Rattus norvegicus: one gene and its partner. The protein of the gene in region 2 interacts with the protein of the main gene of each other region in a pairwise test. Links are inferred from orthologs where the notes say so. Each region holds a gene or a part of one and is shown on either strand. Other genes may lie near its edges.

Region 1 (8,701 bases), on a different chromosome or scaffold from region 2:
GGAAGGAAGGAAGGGCTGCAGATGAACCATCTGTCTTCCCCTGCCCTTGTCCAGGTTCCCAAATTTTGGAAGGTTTTGTGGTAATGTGGTCCTTTGGAGGCCTTGGAGGAGTCTGGAGGGAGAAGTGTAGAGGTGAGACCCAGCAGCCATGCTGACAGAGCATGCAGCATTAGGATGAATTGCCAGGTGAGGGCCGTGTGGGATAAGGACAGTACGAGGGAGTCGGCTCCGATTGAGAAAAATGGCTGCACAGGTGGGGCACTCAGCAGGAGCCCTCTGTCAAGGCTGGTGTTTTATATGCATGGGTGACAGAATCAGGAGGCAGCCAGCCTCAGAGCACAGAAATCCATAGCCTGTGCCCCTAACCACCACTTGAGTTCTCCAAAGCTTGCTGGGGCCCCAGACATCTGAGAAATAGTTCCCAAATCAATGACAAGAAATATGTCTAATTTAAACTAATGGGTCCAGGGTGTGCACACATGGGTGCATTCGTGTGTGTGTGTGTGTGTGTATGTGTGTGTGTGTGTGTGTGACAGAGAGAGAGAGAGAGAGAGAGAGAGAGAGAGAGAGAGAGAGAGAGAGAGAGTGTGTGTGTTCAGGGCCTGAAGAGCAGGCTAAGCAAGACTCCATCGCTAGTCCCTCACTGGGGGATTCTAGGCAGGGGCTCTACCACTGAGCCACGCCCCCAGCCCCTTACTGGGGGATTCTAAGCAGGGGCTCTACCACTGAGCTGCATCTCCTTTTTTTTTTTTTTAAACTTTTTCTTTTGTGACAATATCTCACTAAATTGTTCAGTCTGGCCTTGCACTTAGCCTGTATCCCAGGTTGACTTTGAAGTAGAATTTCTTCTGCCTCAGCTTCCCTAGTAGCTTGAGTTAAGCCTGCACTGATTTAGATTAATGAAGAAGCTGAAGGATTTCTCAGCCTCTGGGATCTGCCCCAGGGAAATGGAGGTGTCTGTGTGAGCATGTGGAACTCCCCTGCACCATAGGTGGCTGGTGGCTCCATTTTCCCTTCTAAGTGTGTGCTTTGGTATGAGTGAAAAGGGTTAGTTCTGAAGGGTGACCTTGGGGTTGCTGGGGATTAAAGAGAGGAGTCACTATAAAGTCACTGGACAGTGTCCAGCAAATGGGCAGTGGGGACAAGTGTTAGGATTTGCCACTCAGGCTCCATGAAGGAACAGATCCTGTGTGCCATGTTCCTGGCAGTGATAGTAGGCTTACTGTGAACAGATTTTTCCTTGAAGAGAGGAGGTAGAACAGTGTTTTGCTATGTCCAGGCTGACCTTGAATTTGCCATCCCCCTGCCTCAGCTCTCCAAGGGCTAGGAGATTAAGAGTGTGTGTGTGTGTGTGTGTGTGTGTGTGTGTGTGTGTGTACACGAACTGGCACATGCATGTGCCCATGAGCTCAGGACAGTTGAGTGAGGCAAGCACGGGAGGTCCACAGACAGCAGGACTTTTACTACAGCCCTCCAGGGTGATGGAAAGACAGCAGGTCGCGGCTCAGGCTGTATGGAAAGGGGCTCTATGTGGAGTGAGCCTCGCTGGGGAACCTGTAGTGTTTGCTGCCAGCAGGGCTGGGATGGGGAGTGAGCACAGGCTGAGCAGGGTGAGGGCTGTGGTGTGGGGGCAAAGACTGGACATGAGCTGGGACTCAGAGAATGCTCAGTGGGGCATGCAGAGAGCTCTCAGTGGGACTGCAGAGAGGGCTCAGTGGGGTCTCAAGGGACAGACCCAGGGGTAGGACAGAAGATGGAGATAAGGCCACATCCAGGACTCTCTGTATCTATCCCATCAGCCTGACACTATTTCCCTGTTACACGCACCCGCACCCAGCAGCCCAGGGAGTCAGCTCAGGCCTCAGCTAGAAGCCTGCAGTGTGTGGGCAGAGCCGGGCAGGCTCCAAGCTGTCTGTGGGAGCCACTCCCAGAACCCGGGCCTCTTGCCACCTGGCTCCTGGCACCCTCTTCCCCAAAACACCCCGAGGCCCTTCACAGTTCTTTCTGAGTTAGGAACAGCTAGTTGGGAAAGAGGCATTGTTTAAATCCTGTTCTCTGGACTAAGTCATCCTGGACATCAACTTTCATGTCTCAGAGCCTCAGTTTTCCCATCTGTAAGATGGGGCTAATAAGCAGGATTTGATGGTGCCCACCTATAATCCTAGCTCTTGGACAGCTGAGGCAGGGGGATGGCAAATTCAAGGCTAGCCTGGACATAGCAAAGCACTGTTCTACCTCCTCTCTTCAGGGAAAAATCTATTCACAGTAAGCCTAATATCACTGCCAGGAACATGGCACACAGGACCTCTTCCTTCATGGAGCCTGAGTGCTCACCCAACCCCCACTTGACTTTGAGGCTTCTTATCTCCCAGCCAGTGAGCTTCAGGTTCACCGCCAGCCTTCCTGTGTGTACCCTGGGCTGTGCTCCCGGAGAGCAAGCAGCAGGTGGGACAGAAGTACAAAGCTTTACATCCTGGGTGCCCTGCTAAGGTTGGCCTGTTCTCTGGACTCCTCAGGTCAACGCTGACATGCAAGAGTTTGCTCTGAGCCTGTTGGTCCTTCTAGCAGGTGAGTGTCTGGCCCCAAAATGCCCTTTCCCAGGGCCTCTCAGCTGGGCAGAGACAAGCGCTCTCTCTCTCTCTCTCTCTCTCTCTCTCTCTCTCTCTCTCTCTCTCTCCCTCCCCCCTCCCTCCCTCCCTCCCCTTGCTCTCTCGTTTGAATTCTCACTCTCTTGCTCTCTCTCTCCTCTCTCTCTCTCTCTCTCTCTCTCTCTCAAATTCTCACTCTCTTGCTCTCTCGCTTTCTCTCTCTCTCGCTCTCTCACTCTCTCAGTCTCTCAGTCTCTCGTTCTGTCTCCTATCTCTCATCTCTCCTCTCTCTCTCTCTCTCTCTCTCTCTCTCTCTCTCTCTCTCTGTAGTACTGTTGTGCTATGTGTCATGGCCTCCCCACGCTGCCGTCCCACAAGCAACTGAGAGGCTAGCGGTGACATAACAGGTAACCTGAGTACCTCGTGCCTCTGTTTCCCCATCTGTGAAACACAGAGAAGAATGTCACCTAGTCATAGGGGCTTTGTGAGGCTTAAATGAGTTAATGTTTGAACAGCGATCACCGAGGCCTGGGTGGAGCTGGCCCCAAGCATGTGTGCCTGAGTATAACTAAGCATTGTTTTCCTCCCTTTAGCAGAACTCAGACCCGGAATGAAGCCAGATGAGCTTTCAGCCAGAATTGAGCTCTTCCTCCTTGCTCTTGCCATGCTTTTCTCCTTCCTTAACCTCTTCTTCGTGTGTGTATGACTGTGTGTGTTCTTGTGTGTGCAGCTTTGCATGTGTGTGCATGCTTATGCATGTGGCTGCCAGAGGGTAACTTTGGGTGTGGTTCCTTAGGAGCAAGCCACCTTTTTTTCTTTTCAAATTCTTTATGTGTATGATTGTTTTGCCTGCAAGTCTGTGCTTGGTAACTGTGGAGGCCAGAAGGGGGCGTCAGATCCCCTGGAAGTGGAGTTACAGATGGTTGTGAACCATCATGTGGTTGCTGGGAACTGAACCTGGGTCCTCTGCAAGAGCAGTCGTTGCTCTTAACCACAGAGTCACCTCTCTCCAGAGCCCCCCACCCATTTAGACCACTTTTTACTTTACCATTTTTGGGCCCAAGTAGCCTTCTGTTTGGAAAGGGACGTGGACCTGCATTCAACTGGCTGACTGAGTCATTTCAAAGGGGGAGAGGTCAGAAGACACAATACCTGTGGGGCGTAGCTGTGGTGGGGCCAGCAAGGCATTTTGTGAGCAGCGCTCCTGTGAAAGAAACAGACACTGGAACAGGAGCCATCTGCTGCCTTGAAAAGCAAGGCTTCTCCTGCGGGAGGCGTGGCCCAGCCCGGAGGCTAGAAACACTGTTTCCAGTGCAGTGTTTCAGAGATAGGGGTGGGAGCCCATATCTCCATGAAGGTGCATGTCCAGGTAGGACTAGCCAGAGGTTAGATCCTGTGCACTGTGAGGTGGGGCTGTTCCCCCACAGAGCATTTCTCACAGGCAATGAACCTCCATGGATCCTGCTGAGGGCTCTGCTAAAGCCACCTTAGTCATAACCTTTACTTTTTGTCCCCACAGGCCTGCCTACTTTGGATGCCAATGACCCTGAAGGTGAGCCAGAGCCCATCCTCCACCCCACTTTCCCAAGTCCCCTACTGTCTTAGATTCATGTATGTGTTTTTTCTCTTTGCAGATAAAGATAGCCCTTTCTACTATGGTAAGAACGGAGTCTTCTCTTCACTTCTTTCCCGTCTTGCACAGTATTTGTGCCAAGGGTCCCACGGGAGGATGACTGACAGTTCACAGTGACCCAGGGGTGAGGATAGGAGAGGGTTTGAGTCGGCACTGAGCTCCCAGGTAGGTGAAAGTTATCAGCTTTGAGGAGAAATACAAGACAGGCACAGACACGACCTGAGTCCAGTCCACAGGAGACGTTAGTTTCAGATCAACCACCAGAAAGCTAGACATGAAAATCTTCCCAGAGAAGAAAGGGAATTCTATACCCCAATCCTCCAGCTTCCATCAGGAGCTGCCCCTTGCCCGTCCCCTCTCTTTCTCTATTGGTCCTCACGCCTGTTTCAGCTCAGGATTTTAGCATCTACTACTCCTTCATCCTGCACCATTTTCTTCCATGCCTTCAGGGCCAGCTCTGCCTTCCTGCGGATCTCCTCAGAGAGCCCTTGCCTGACCACTCGTTCTAAAGACCCAGCCTCTTGACTTCCTATCCTCCATACTGATCCTTTCCCTCAGATGGCTTCTCTGCCCCTGGGTGGACACGTGATATCTTGTTCGCTTGGATATGAACTGCAATAGTTGCACAGTGGGGCTGGGTTTTGCTTTTCTGTTTTACTGCTGTCAAGTGAGTTGGGAGATAGGGGAAGGAATTGGGCTACCTTTGAGGTCCCCTTTGTCTCCCTCTCAGATTGGCACAGCCTCCGAGTCGGCGGGCTCATCTGTGCAGGGATTCTCTGTGCCCTGGGCATTATAGTTCTCATGAGTGAGTACTTGGGAGCTCTGGGAGGGAGTGAGCAGGGAAGGGGTTTCCTGTTCTTTCCCCTGACCACGCCTCTTTCCAACAGGTGGCAAGTGCAAATGCAAGTTCAGCCAGAAACCCAGGTGAGATGGGTTCTGGGCATGCTCAAAAAAAGGCTAAGCTGTGGGTTGGGGATTTAGCTCAGTGATAGAACGCTTGCCTAGCAAGCGAAAGGCCCTGGGTTAGGTCCTCAGCTCCAAAATAAATAAATAAATAAATAAATAAATAAATAAATAAATAAATAAATAAATAAATAAATAAGGCTAAGCCTTGTGCAAAGTGCTCAGGCCTGGGTGCTCTGCCCCGGTGTCTCCTGGGCTTATCCATGGCAAATCATCCCGAGAAAGCTGTGGTCCTTACTGGTACACTTAGCTTTGCATAAACGTACAGTGGGAAATCAACCAAGAAACTGTCTGGGCAACCCGAGACTCCTTTAGCCCCTGAGAGAGAGGATAAATAGGAGAGGATTTATTTACATATTATTCCGTTTATTTCCTTAGCCACCGTCCAGGAGATGGGCCACCCCTCATCACACCAGGTATGACACAGGATGATTGGGGGTGACACGTGGGGGTAATGGTCACTAGTGGAAGCTGGAGTGGGAGCGTGCCTGAGTCAGGGAGAAGGAAAGGGGAGATGCTTGCAAACTGACTCCATTCCCTCTACCAGGCTCTGCTCACAACTGCTGAGGATGGATCAGTTAAAAAAGTGCAGGTCCTGTCTCTGGAGATGGGCTTGAACTCCAAGATGTCTGGGCTCCTCCTCTCCTGACACTGCCTTCCCCGAGCCTCATCTCATGGTAGCAGGTTCTTTGTTCAGTTGTTAATATAAAATGATTTTACGTCATGCTCAGGCGAGCCAGAGACTCTGTGTGGAGCTTGGAGTGTGGCTGCCGGCAGCGAGGAGGTGAGCAGATGCTGGGGTGGACCTTGGGGCCTCGATGGGGCAGGTTAATGAGCAGGAGCTGATGGCTGAATCATGCTTAGACCTGCACGTCATGGCCTTATGGTGGGCATGAGATTTGCCCTTTCCCTCCATGGGCAGCCTCCTGTGCCACTTAAGTTCTAGTGGCAAACGAGGGACACTTGCGGGAGTGAAAAAGAGCCCTAATCTCACGCAGTGTAGGGACACTGGGTGACATTGCGAAAAACTACACCGTGGGGTCATCACACCATATTGGGGCCACCCCGATATTTAGCTGTCCCCACCCCTGCAGTTGAGATGACCCCACTTTATCATGAGACCCTTCCATTCACCTGTGAGACCTGTAATTTCTCAGAACACCGCCGATAGTCCAGCAGTGGCCACACTGTGAGATCCTCCACTGACCCCCAGCTCTCTTGAGGCTCCTCAGTATCCATCAGAGCCTCCAGAATCTAAGTGCAATCACAGAAAATGCCTAAAACCTTTCAAACCAAAATTCCTGCCCAAGATCCCATCCAGGGTTTTCACCTGCCACTCAACAAGAGGCTCCCGCCTTGAGACCACAGAGCGGGCAGGTTGGGTGCGCGGGGCATTTATTGAATTCATACACTCCCTGTTCTTGCCCCTGTCACATTCTGGAAAAAGGTACCCAGTGCTCTCTGTGACGCCTCTAGACTTCATCTTCGCTGCTTCACTTTTACTGCACACGTGTAAAAGCAATCAGTCTTCGGAAATAGACATGCGCACGGGCAGCAAAGTACCAGGCATGCGCACAGGCAGCAGAGTACCAGGCCAAGAAACTGCCCAGCAACTGTGACGTCACAGAGACGCATACTCCACGAAACCAATGGCCAGATAGGGTTTGAGTGGAACTAATGCTCTCTCTCGGTTCTTTATATGCAGCAGGACCAAGGGGACGTTGAGGGCGGGGTGTCCAAACCTCTTGGAGCTCAGCAGATTGCCCTTTTAGTTTCTGTATCCCAGCTCCAAGTTGTGTTCCAGGAGGAACTCCCAAGATGTTGTGCATGGGAGCATCTGTCCTCAGCCCAAATGTGGCTTCAGACTGGAGGGGCCCTAAACATAGTTGGGAGTAAAGAGACCTCCCACTTGCCCCTTAGGTACAGATCCTCCGAAAAGTGGACTAAGCCTAACTCAGGCTGATGCACTTGGCTTGTGGTCTGTATCACCCAGGACTGTCTGTGACATCCAGGAGGCCAGCCCAGAGAGGTTACCCAGATGTCCCAGAATGCCCTTGCCAGTCCCATAGCCACTTCCAGGGTCTTTCCCAGCCTCAGGCACTGAGATCCAACTCATGGTGCTGGTAGATCTGCGTGGGCCCCTTGAAGCACGCTGCGAATAAAAAGCGTCTTCCTGCTACAGTGACTTGGCCAAAGGCTCGGGGGGCCACCAAGGCCGGTGGGCCCAGCTCCTGTAGTGGCTCCAGGATCCCTTTATCGGGCTCAAAGCGGAAGACTTGGCTGAAGGCGAAGTCGCTGCCCAGAATGGCCAACTGGTCGCTGGCAATTAGTAGTGGCTGGAAGACATGGGAGCCTCGAGATGGAAGTTGCTGCAGCAGACGGAACATGGAGCCGTCCCAGCGCATGACCTGCAGGATTTGGAAGCTAGTTAGACCCTGGGTCATGAGACGCTAACTGGCCTGTCATTTAACAGGATCCTGTAGGTTCTCCATTTACCCGTAATCCCTCCCCCTTTTTGAGAGTCTTGCTAGCCACGGACTGCTTTCTACCTCAGCCTCCCTGGTACTGAGATGACAGCCTCTGGGCCTCTGTGACACCAACACTATGCCCAGCATCTTTCATAACTTACAGATAACATTTGTCTGCTCGGAACAGGGGCATTGTTCTAGACTTTTCTCTCTGCCTCACATGCCACACAGACTGCCCAGCAATGGTCTGCCAATCTTACTTGTCATACGTTATATGTTTATCCCAACTGTTCTGGTCATACCCTGACCAGCTTCCACCTTCTCCAGCCTGATCCCCGATTCCCGTTCTAATCTCCGTTGCTCCCTCCTGGAGACCCCTTGAATAGTTGAGGTGTGGGGTGTGGGGTGGGGACTTGGAAAAGATAATCCTGAAGGCGATCAGAACCTAACACCAACTCAACCTGTCCCAACAGTAAGGGTGTGGATGGAGTTAACCGTCATCCTGGAATGTTCTAGAGAGACAGGGCCAAGCTTAGCAGAGTAAATTCAGAATCTTGGAGCAGGTCATGTGGGCACGGTCCTGTTGTGCCAGCACAGGGCTGGGGCAGGAGAATTATGAGATTGAAGCCAGCCTGGACTATATATTAAGATCCTAGCTGGGGGTTGGGGATTTAGCTCAGTGGTCGAGCGCTTGCCTAGCAAGCGCAAGGCCCTGGATTCGGTCCGGAAAAAAAACAAAAAAAGATCCTAGCTGAGTCTCTGCCTCATAAAGCCACGGGCTATAGTTTAGCAGGCAAGCTTAGAATTCACCAGTGGCTCAGCTGCTGTGCCTAAGCCTGGAACTCACTAGAAAGCGGCTGGGGGCGTGGCTTAGTGGGGCTTGCTGCTTAGAATTCATCATGGATTAGTTGTGGGTGAGGCTCAATGGTAGAACGCATTCCTGGAATTCACCAATGAGGGGACGTGCTGAAACAGTGGTCCAGCCCCCTGCCAAATGAGGGTTCAGCTGCTGGGATCTAATCTGGCTGCTACTGTCTGCCCCCAGGCTC
Region 2 (7,916 bases):
TCAAGGTCAAGGACTAATGACCAGCTTGATCCCCAGAGACTCTAGATCGAGTGCGGCCAAAATCAGAAGGAAGAAGGGGCTGCAGTAGAAAATGAAACAGGATTCTGGGATTAAGCCCTAAATCATGCAGCTGAGCTTGGCCTGTCAGACCCTAGAGCGGAGGACTCCCATTCTGCCAGTGTAGGACACAGAAGACAGGCTGTAACTACCTGAACCCCCAAAGGGCTGCCACCACTCCACACTCCCCTCAGGTCCCCTCAGGTCCCATAGTGCTGCCATTGAGCTGAGTGAAGACCAGGGAATGGCCAAGTTCCTGGACCCCTCTGCTGGCAGCAGACCCAGTGGGGAGAGACAGTCCCAAGAGCCATGCTTTCTCATAGACCACCACTTACATGCATGCTGGTGAAATCCACATGTACAAAACCACACATGTTCCTGAAGCCATAACTAGAACATCACTTTGGAATTTAAATACTTTTTAAAGAATGTACATCTGATTGTACCCAGGCCTAACTTGACGCCCCTCAAGGGTTCTCACTGCTGCAAGCTTCCTGGACTGGGCTCCACTCCCATTTGTAACCCAGGATCCACATGACCTTTCAGCTCCGGCAGCTTTCTTTGAGCTGTGGCCAATTAATTCCTCCTGAACTATTGATCCCATTCATCCAACAGCTACAGTGGGACTAACATGACCTCCTGTGCTCATGGCAACCACATACCAAGGCCTACATGGCTTTCACAGCGAAGGGTCAGCCTCTACCTGGAAGGTGGCACGGCCCTGGATACCGTAGGAACTCTCCCTTCCTGAGACTCAGTTCAGACCTACAGTGTGCAGCCACCATTCTCTCTGATCTTCGCTGTTGTATGGCTTTCCCAAGATGAGGACTTGCCTCTCTGTTCTTGCTGAACTGATCCCAGAACTCCTGAGGCCAGCCATTCCTCTATGCAGGGCAAACCTCCAGCCTAAGGGAGGGAAGAGAGTGAACGCTTGATGGGGATTGTCCCAGGGGCAGGTGATTGAGAAGATGAATCTGTCTCTTCCTCAGGCCCCAGGAGAAATGACTCAGCTGCCAGTGATCAAAGCAGAGCCCCCGGAAATGAGCCAGTTTCTCAAAGTGACACAAGGTAAGTGTGTACATGAGAGAGACTCCTGATCATGGACAGACAGACGGCATCCTACTCCCTCCATCTAGACCACCCCTGTTCTTCAAAACTCCGGCTTCCCCCCAAATGCTCTCACCTTCTCAATCTCTCGCTCCTTGTCTATCACATCCCCTCTCCTTCTTCCATTTCTTCTGGCCTCCTTCCATCCACTCCACAGCGGAAAACACACTTTATAGCCACCACACGTCTTTTCTTCCATCCATATACCCATCCATCCACCCCCTACTCAACTGTTATTTATTTATTTTTTTTAAAGATTTATTTATTTATTATATATAAGTACACTGTAGCTGTCTTCAGATACACCAGAAGAGGGCATCGGATCTCTTTACAGATGGTTGTGAGCCACCATGTGGTTGCTGGGAATTGAACTCATGACCTCTGGAAGAGCAGTCGGGTGCTCTTAACCACTGAGCCATCTCTCCAGCCCTTTTTTTTTTTTTTTTGGTTCTTTTTTTTCAGAGCTGGGGACCGAACCCAGGGCCTTGCGCTTCCTAGGCAAGCGCTCTACCACTGAGCTAAATCCCCAGCCTCAACTGTTATTTTTTATTTTTATTAATTTTTATTTATATAAGTACACTGTAGTTGTCCTCAGACACACCAGAAGAGGGCACCAGATCTCATTACAGATGGTTGTGAGCCACCATGTGGATGCTGGGATTTGAACTCAGGACCTCTGGGAGAGCAGTCAGTGCTCTAAACCATGAGCCATCTCTCCAGCCCTCCCCTACTCAACTATTTACCCATTCACCCACTTACCCATTCACCCACTGTCCATCCATCATCCATCCATCCACCCATCTTTCTATCCATCTATCACCTGTCCATTCATCAATGAATCTGTCACTCCACCACACATCCACTCATTACCACTCACCCTATTACCCTGAGACTGGACCCATACTGTTGACTCAGAGAAAGGAAATGGAAGGACATTGGTCAGCCTGAGCCCCATGGGTCTGGTTTGACCTTAGTCCCCTCTGGACTTACAGAACTGGGACTTTAGAAACCTGAATCCTGTGGGTAGGGAAGCTTGCAGCCCAGAGGCTCCTCCCCAAGGTGGCAGGGGAATTCCTCTGCCCCAGCAGAGATAAGTCTGTCTTAGTCAGGGTTTTACTGCTGTGAATAGACACCATAACCAACACAACTTTTATAAGAACAACATTTAATTGGGGCCGGCTTACAGGATCAGAGGTTCAGTCCATTATCATCAAGGCAGGAGCATTGCAGCATCCAGGCAGGCATGGTGCAGGGGGGGCTGAGAGGCCTACATCTTCATCCGAAGACCTCTAGGAGATTGACTTTCAGGCAGCTAGGAAGAGGGTCTTAAACCTATGCTCACAGTGACACACCTACTCCAGCAAGGCCACACCCATTCCAACAGGGCCATGGCTCCTAATAGTGCCACTCCCTGGGCCAAGCATATATAACCCATCACAGAGGTAGCACTCAGTGAACATCCTTGTGGGTGCCAGGTGTCTTTTTAACACGGCATCTGATATTCCAGCGCAGGTCAAGGGCCTCTCGGTACATTTTCTGCAGTGACAGGGCTGGTCCAGCCTGTGTTCGGCGTTCTCATGATGTTAGAGCAGAGATGGAGTACAGCCCTACTAACCCAGTCCTCTACTTTTTGCAGAGGACCTCGTACAGATGCCTCCAACACCCCCCAGCAGCCATGGCAGTGACAGTGACGGCTCCCAGAGTCCCCGCTCTCTTCCCCCCTCCAGCCCTGTCCGGCCCATGGCCCGCTCCTCCACGGCCATTTCCACCTCTCCGCTCCTCACTGCCCCTCACGTAAGCACCTAGGGATGGGCTGACCCCAGAGGTGAGGTAATGAGTAGGTTCACCCAGTTCCCTGACCAGTGAAGAGGGTCAGGGAGCCCCAAGTCTGATACTTATCCCACCAGATTCAGGGAGGTGCCCGTTTGACAGGTAAGGGGCGTGTTTCAATTCTGCCTCAAGATGAATAGAAATCAAAGGAAAGAGACAAGGTCCAATAGGGCCTAGATGAAACACTGGTATGGAACCAAGATGAGAATCTGACCTTCCTGAGCCCTGGCGAGTAACCTAGGCTATATCCAAGGAGCACTTCTGGGGAGCAAAATGGAGGAGACTCTGAACCCTGAGGAGGTCATGGTTCCTCCTAATTGGAACTGTGGGAAAGGACCTGAGGTGGGTGCTGTCTAGGGGACCCTAGGTAAATGAACTTTGAGACTTGATTCTAGGTTAGGATAGATGAAGGGTCCTCCCAAAACCATTGTAACACTTGACACACGTTACTGGACCTAACTCAGATTCCTCCCCTTTTCCAAGGAGGAAACCGGGGTCAGAGAGTTGAATATGTAGAGAGTACACAGTAGTGCTCGAGTTTGAACCCAGAATTGTCTGCTTTCTTCAGAAACTGCAGGGGACATCAGGGCCACTGCTCTTGACAGAAGAGGAGAAGCGAACTTTGATCGCCGAGGGTTATCCCATCCCCACCAAACTCCCCCTCACCAAGGCTGAGGAGAAGGCCCTGAAGAGAGTGCGCAGGAAAATTAAGAACAAGGTAAGACTGGAGCCATCCTTACCCTAGGACTATGGGGACATTTCCACTGAAGGGAGCCCCTGCCCTCTGGTGATGTCAGCTTTGAAATTGGGGATGCCTAGGAAGGGGATACATGGCCATGGTAACCCCTCTTTTGGAACTTCCTCCTCAGATCTCTGCCCAGGAGAGCCGCCGCAAAAAGAAGGAGTATGTGGAGTGTCTAGAGAAGAAGTAAGTGTCATGTTAAGGCCGGGACCCCAGCCAGAGGCCTGGCTGCAGCAGTGGGATGGCTGTGGGACACATGAGCCTGTGGGGACTCCCTGAGCCTGCGTCTGCTTGCCCTTCCAGGGTGGAGACATATACATCAGAGAACAATGAACTGTGGAAGAAGGTGGAAACCCTAGAGACTGCCAACAGGTGAGTGGTACCCTGTGTCCCACCTGCCCGCTAAAGGCAGCAGCTGGCTCTGGGAGGCAGGAGAGAAAAGAGATACCCCAAAGTGTACCCCACAACCTGGGAGCTCAGATGTCCTGCCAGTCCCTGGCTTCCCGGGTGTCCCTGACTGCACATAACTCTAGACTCCTGACAGGCCGGTAAGATGCTCGAGGAAGACTACAGGGCAGAAACTTTCCAGGTGTGCTCCTCAGCCTCCGCGTTGCCTCCCAGCTTGTGAGAAATGTGTGTTCTCTCTTCCCAGTCACGATCGTGCATGCCTTTCATTCTAGCACTCGGGAGGCAAACGAAGCAGTAAGTTCAAGGCCAGCCTGGGGTACCTACCTAGGGAGCTCCAGGTTAGGCAGGACAGCACAGATAGGCTCTGCCTCAAACAAAGAGAAAGAGAGAGAAAGATGTGCTTCTCAGACCCAGAGCCAGGTCTATTGAGTCATTTACTGCAGAGGTGGGGACCAGCAACCTGTAGATTTTATTTTGTTTTGAGAGACCCTCATAAAATCCAGGCTGGCTTCAGACTTGCTAAGTAGCTGAGGAAAGCCTAGGACTCCTGATTTCTCTACCTCTTCCTCCTAAGTAGTAGGGCTCAGGCGTGTGTCCCTGCACCTGGCTGCCGCCAGCGTTGGTTGGTTGCTTTATGTGCATGACTGTTTTGCCTGTGTGTGTGTGTCTGTGCACCATGTGCATGCAATGCCCATGGAGGCCACAAGAGGGTGTTGGATCCCCTGAAACTAGAGCTCCAGATGGTTATAAGCTATGGATGCTGGGAACTGAACCCAGATCCTCTGGAAGAGTGGCCAGTGCTCCTTACCCTTGAGCCGTTCGTCAGCCACTGCAATCAATGCTTTAGTTATGTCCCTAGAGCAGGTCCCACACTACTAAATCTGATAGCCAGAACCTTTGCTACTCAAAGCCAGTTCCCCATACGGCCTGAGAACTCGTGAGAAATCAGAAATTTCAGGACTTTTCTAAGATTGCTGGGCCAGAACGTGCGTGCGTGCGTGCGTGCGTGCGTGCGTGCACACAGCAGAGTTAAGACACTGGATGTTCTTCACCTTATCATTTGAAACAGGATCTTTCTCTGAATCTGACACTCACCGGTTGGCTGACTAGGCTGGATCTGTGTCCCGTGTCCACTGCCCCCTCCCCCAACACACCAGAGTTAGAGCAACCACACGCAGCCTACCTGCCTACCTTCCTTCTTTCTTTCCTTCCTTTCTCTTTCTTTTTTCTTTTTCTTCTTTTTTTTTTTAAGACAGGGTCTTTCTATTATATAGCTGTGGCAGTCCTGGAAGTTACTAATTCAGACCAGGGTGGCCTCGAACTCACAGAGATCCAGCCACCTCTGCATCCTGAGTGCTGGCATTAAAGGCGTGTGCCACCCTGCCCGGTTCGTGCCTGGCTTTTTTACATGGGTGTTGGGGTTCCAAATTCAGATCCTCATGCTGGGTCAATAGCACTGTACCTGCTAAGCCATCAATCCAGCTCCCAAACTGCATTTTGACAATGCCCTGGATGCCGCCATTGCGTTGAGTCTGAGAAACATTAGTTTCAGGAAACCAGCCTGGGATCTGGCTTGTAGCATCAAACCACAGATTTGGGCTCTGGGTTCTGGGTCCAGTCTGCTATTGTCTATGACTCTACTGTTTCTGGCCAGGCTCTCTGAGCCTCAATATTCTTGGTGACGGTGATGTGACACCAGCACTGGCTAACAGGACTGGTGTGAGGCTCTATAAGATATAGCAACCCAGGGGTTGGGGATTTAGCTCAATGGTAGAGCGCTTGCCTAGCAAGCGCAAGGCCCTGGGTTCGGTCCCCAGCTCCAAAAAAAAAAGAAGAAAAGAAGAAAAAAAAAAGACATAGCAACCCAAACCAACACAGACAACCCAAACCAACACGGCCTGTGGCATTAAAGAACGCCTGCTTGTTGATTTCGCCCCGTTGATAATACTGTTGATTCTAGATAGTGCCCTGAGCTATGAAGCCACACTGTTTTCTAGGAGTAAGTACAATAACACAAACAACAGTATCTAGTGGAATCCTAACACAAGACACTGTCTCCTAGCCATGCTGAGGATTGAACCTAGGACCTTGTACACACCACAAACACCTTCCACTATGCTAGGCTCCCTTTTTGTCTGTTTGCATTTTTTGTAAGTTTTTAGTTAAGTTTATTTATTGAGCGTGTGTGTGTGTGTGTGTGTGTGTGTGTGTGTGTGTGTGTGCGCGCGCGCGCACCATGTTCCTGTGCAGGCTAGATGGCAAATTACAGTAGTCAGTTCTCCCTTTCCACCCTGTAGGTACCAGGGATGGGACTTGGGCTAGCAGGCTTGCTGACAAGTACCTGTAGGCGCTAAGCCATCTCACTGCCCCTGTTACTCTCGAAACTGTTCTCACGTAGCCAGGTTGACCATAAACTCATTATGTGGCTGAAGCTATCCTTGGACTCCTGATTCTCCTTCCCCTCTGACGGCCTGGCCCAATGCAAGGCTTCTTCTAAGTATGCACCACCTAGCCTAACCCGAGCGTCCACTTTTTGGAAACAGGGTTTTTCTGATTGTAGCTCAGTCCTGAACTCGCTATGTATCCAGGCATCCATATTTTCTCCTTTCCGTTCTCAGACCCAGCTTCTCAGGCAGGAATCAGGGTAGGGGCGGAGCCTTCAATCTTCACCTCGCTACCCTTAAAAAAATCTGTTTTAAGACTATTCCGCCACCTGCTGTCCACTTCGGGAACTGCATAACACACACAGCTGGGTGGAGAAGTGCAGTATTAACTGTTAACAAGTGTGTGTTCCCAAAGGATTCCGTGCTGGGTAGTACCTAGTTCTTGCCTTCAGTTAGCAACTGAGACTACCATGGAAGCCCACAAATAAAGCTAACGTGTTACAGGTGTTGTGGTAATGGTAAAACAGCTATAAATTAGCGTAAACAATGACCCATTTACTGACTGCACTCCACACCTCGCCAAGTGTCTTGTGGAATCAGGGTGCTGTGGGGTGCAAAAGAGGAGAGTCAATGTCTCTGTGACTGTACTGGATAGGAAAAAAATCCAGCATTTTCTGAGAAGAGTCAGGAGTAAGAGTTAGGCACCCCTAAGATTCTACAGGATGACCCAACTTCCTACCATGAGGCAGGTCCCAAATAACCAAGCCAGGCTGCAGAAGGTGACCTTTTATATCTTGACTACAATGGGCACCAAAGAATGAAGACCCAGTCAGGAGCCAACCAAGGCTCCTCAGGAGGGGCCAGGATGCAGACATGGCTACTGTGCCTAAGCCCCCATGGTGACTCCTGTACCTTCCTTAGGACCCTGCTCCAGCAGCTGCAGAAACTCCAGACTCTGGTCACCAGCAAGATCTCCAGACCTTACAAGATGGCGGCCACACAGACTGGCACTTGCCTCATGGTAGGTGCTACTCTTTGCACAAAGCCACGGGGGGAAATGCTTCTTGAAGCTAGGACAGTGAGCAGAGCCTGAAGGGACCAGTGACCTGTCCAGGCCAGTTCTAACAGATGTGTGGTTGATGCCACTAAATCTAGTGAAAGGCGGGTCCTTGGGAAAGTGGCTTCTATAGATTCGAGGAGTGCGATTCTTCTTGGAATGGGTGATAGGGAGAAAGTAAAGAAGCCCCCCAGGGCCCCCAAGGCTAGGGGAGGGGGATACCTAGGACAGGCTCAGAACCTGTCTTGGCTCTCTTTCATTAGTCTGTTCTCCCGAGTAAACACAGAGGAGGGGCTGTCATTCTGAGGGCAGGGCCTCGCTGGAGCTCCCC

The links.
Region 1: the proteins of Creb3l1 (region 2) and Fxyd3 interact in binary tests that used the Homo sapiens proteins (3 or more experiments, as listed by UniProt). The two-hybrid records come from large-scale screens. The link is inferred for Rattus norvegicus from reciprocal best matches to the Homo sapiens genes CREB3L1 and FXYD3.

The regions. Positions count from the first base shown.
Region 1 is NC_086019.1:95,430,125-95,438,825, reverse strand, and holds the end of Fxyd3 (FXYD domain-containing ion transport regulator 3 precursor), read left to right. Parts: intron 1-2,372; exon of another isoform or gene 2,373-2,516; 5' UTR 2,517-2,528; coding exon 2,529-2,568; intron 2,569-4,107; coding exon 4,108-4,140; intron 4,141-4,222; coding exon 4,223-4,246; intron 4,247-4,951; coding exon 4,952-5,026; intron 5,027-5,108; coding exon 5,109-5,145; intron 5,146-5,529; exon of another isoform or gene 5,530-5,562; coding exon 5,563-5,600; coding exon of another isoform or gene 5,601-5,626; exon of another isoform or gene 5,627-5,731; coding exon 5,732-5,751; 3' UTR 5,752-5,908; downstream 5,909-8,701. Other genes in the region: Lgi4 (leucine-rich repeat LGI family member 4 precursor), read right to left, coding at 7,278-7,592. UniProt on the Homo sapiens protein: Associates with and regulates the activity of the sodium/potassium-transporting ATPase (NKA) which transports Na(+) out of the cell and K(+) into the cell.
Region 2 is NC_086021.1:98,412,290-98,420,205, reverse strand, and holds part of Creb3l1 (cyclic AMP-responsive element-binding protein 3-like protein 1), read left to right. Parts: intron 1-1,046; coding exon 1,047-1,125; intron 1,126-2,800; coding exon 2,801-2,958; intron 2,959-3,562; coding exon 3,563-3,712; intron 3,713-3,863; coding exon 3,864-3,922; intron 3,923-4,039; coding exon 4,040-4,108; intron 4,109-7,449; coding exon 7,450-7,549; intron 7,550-7,916.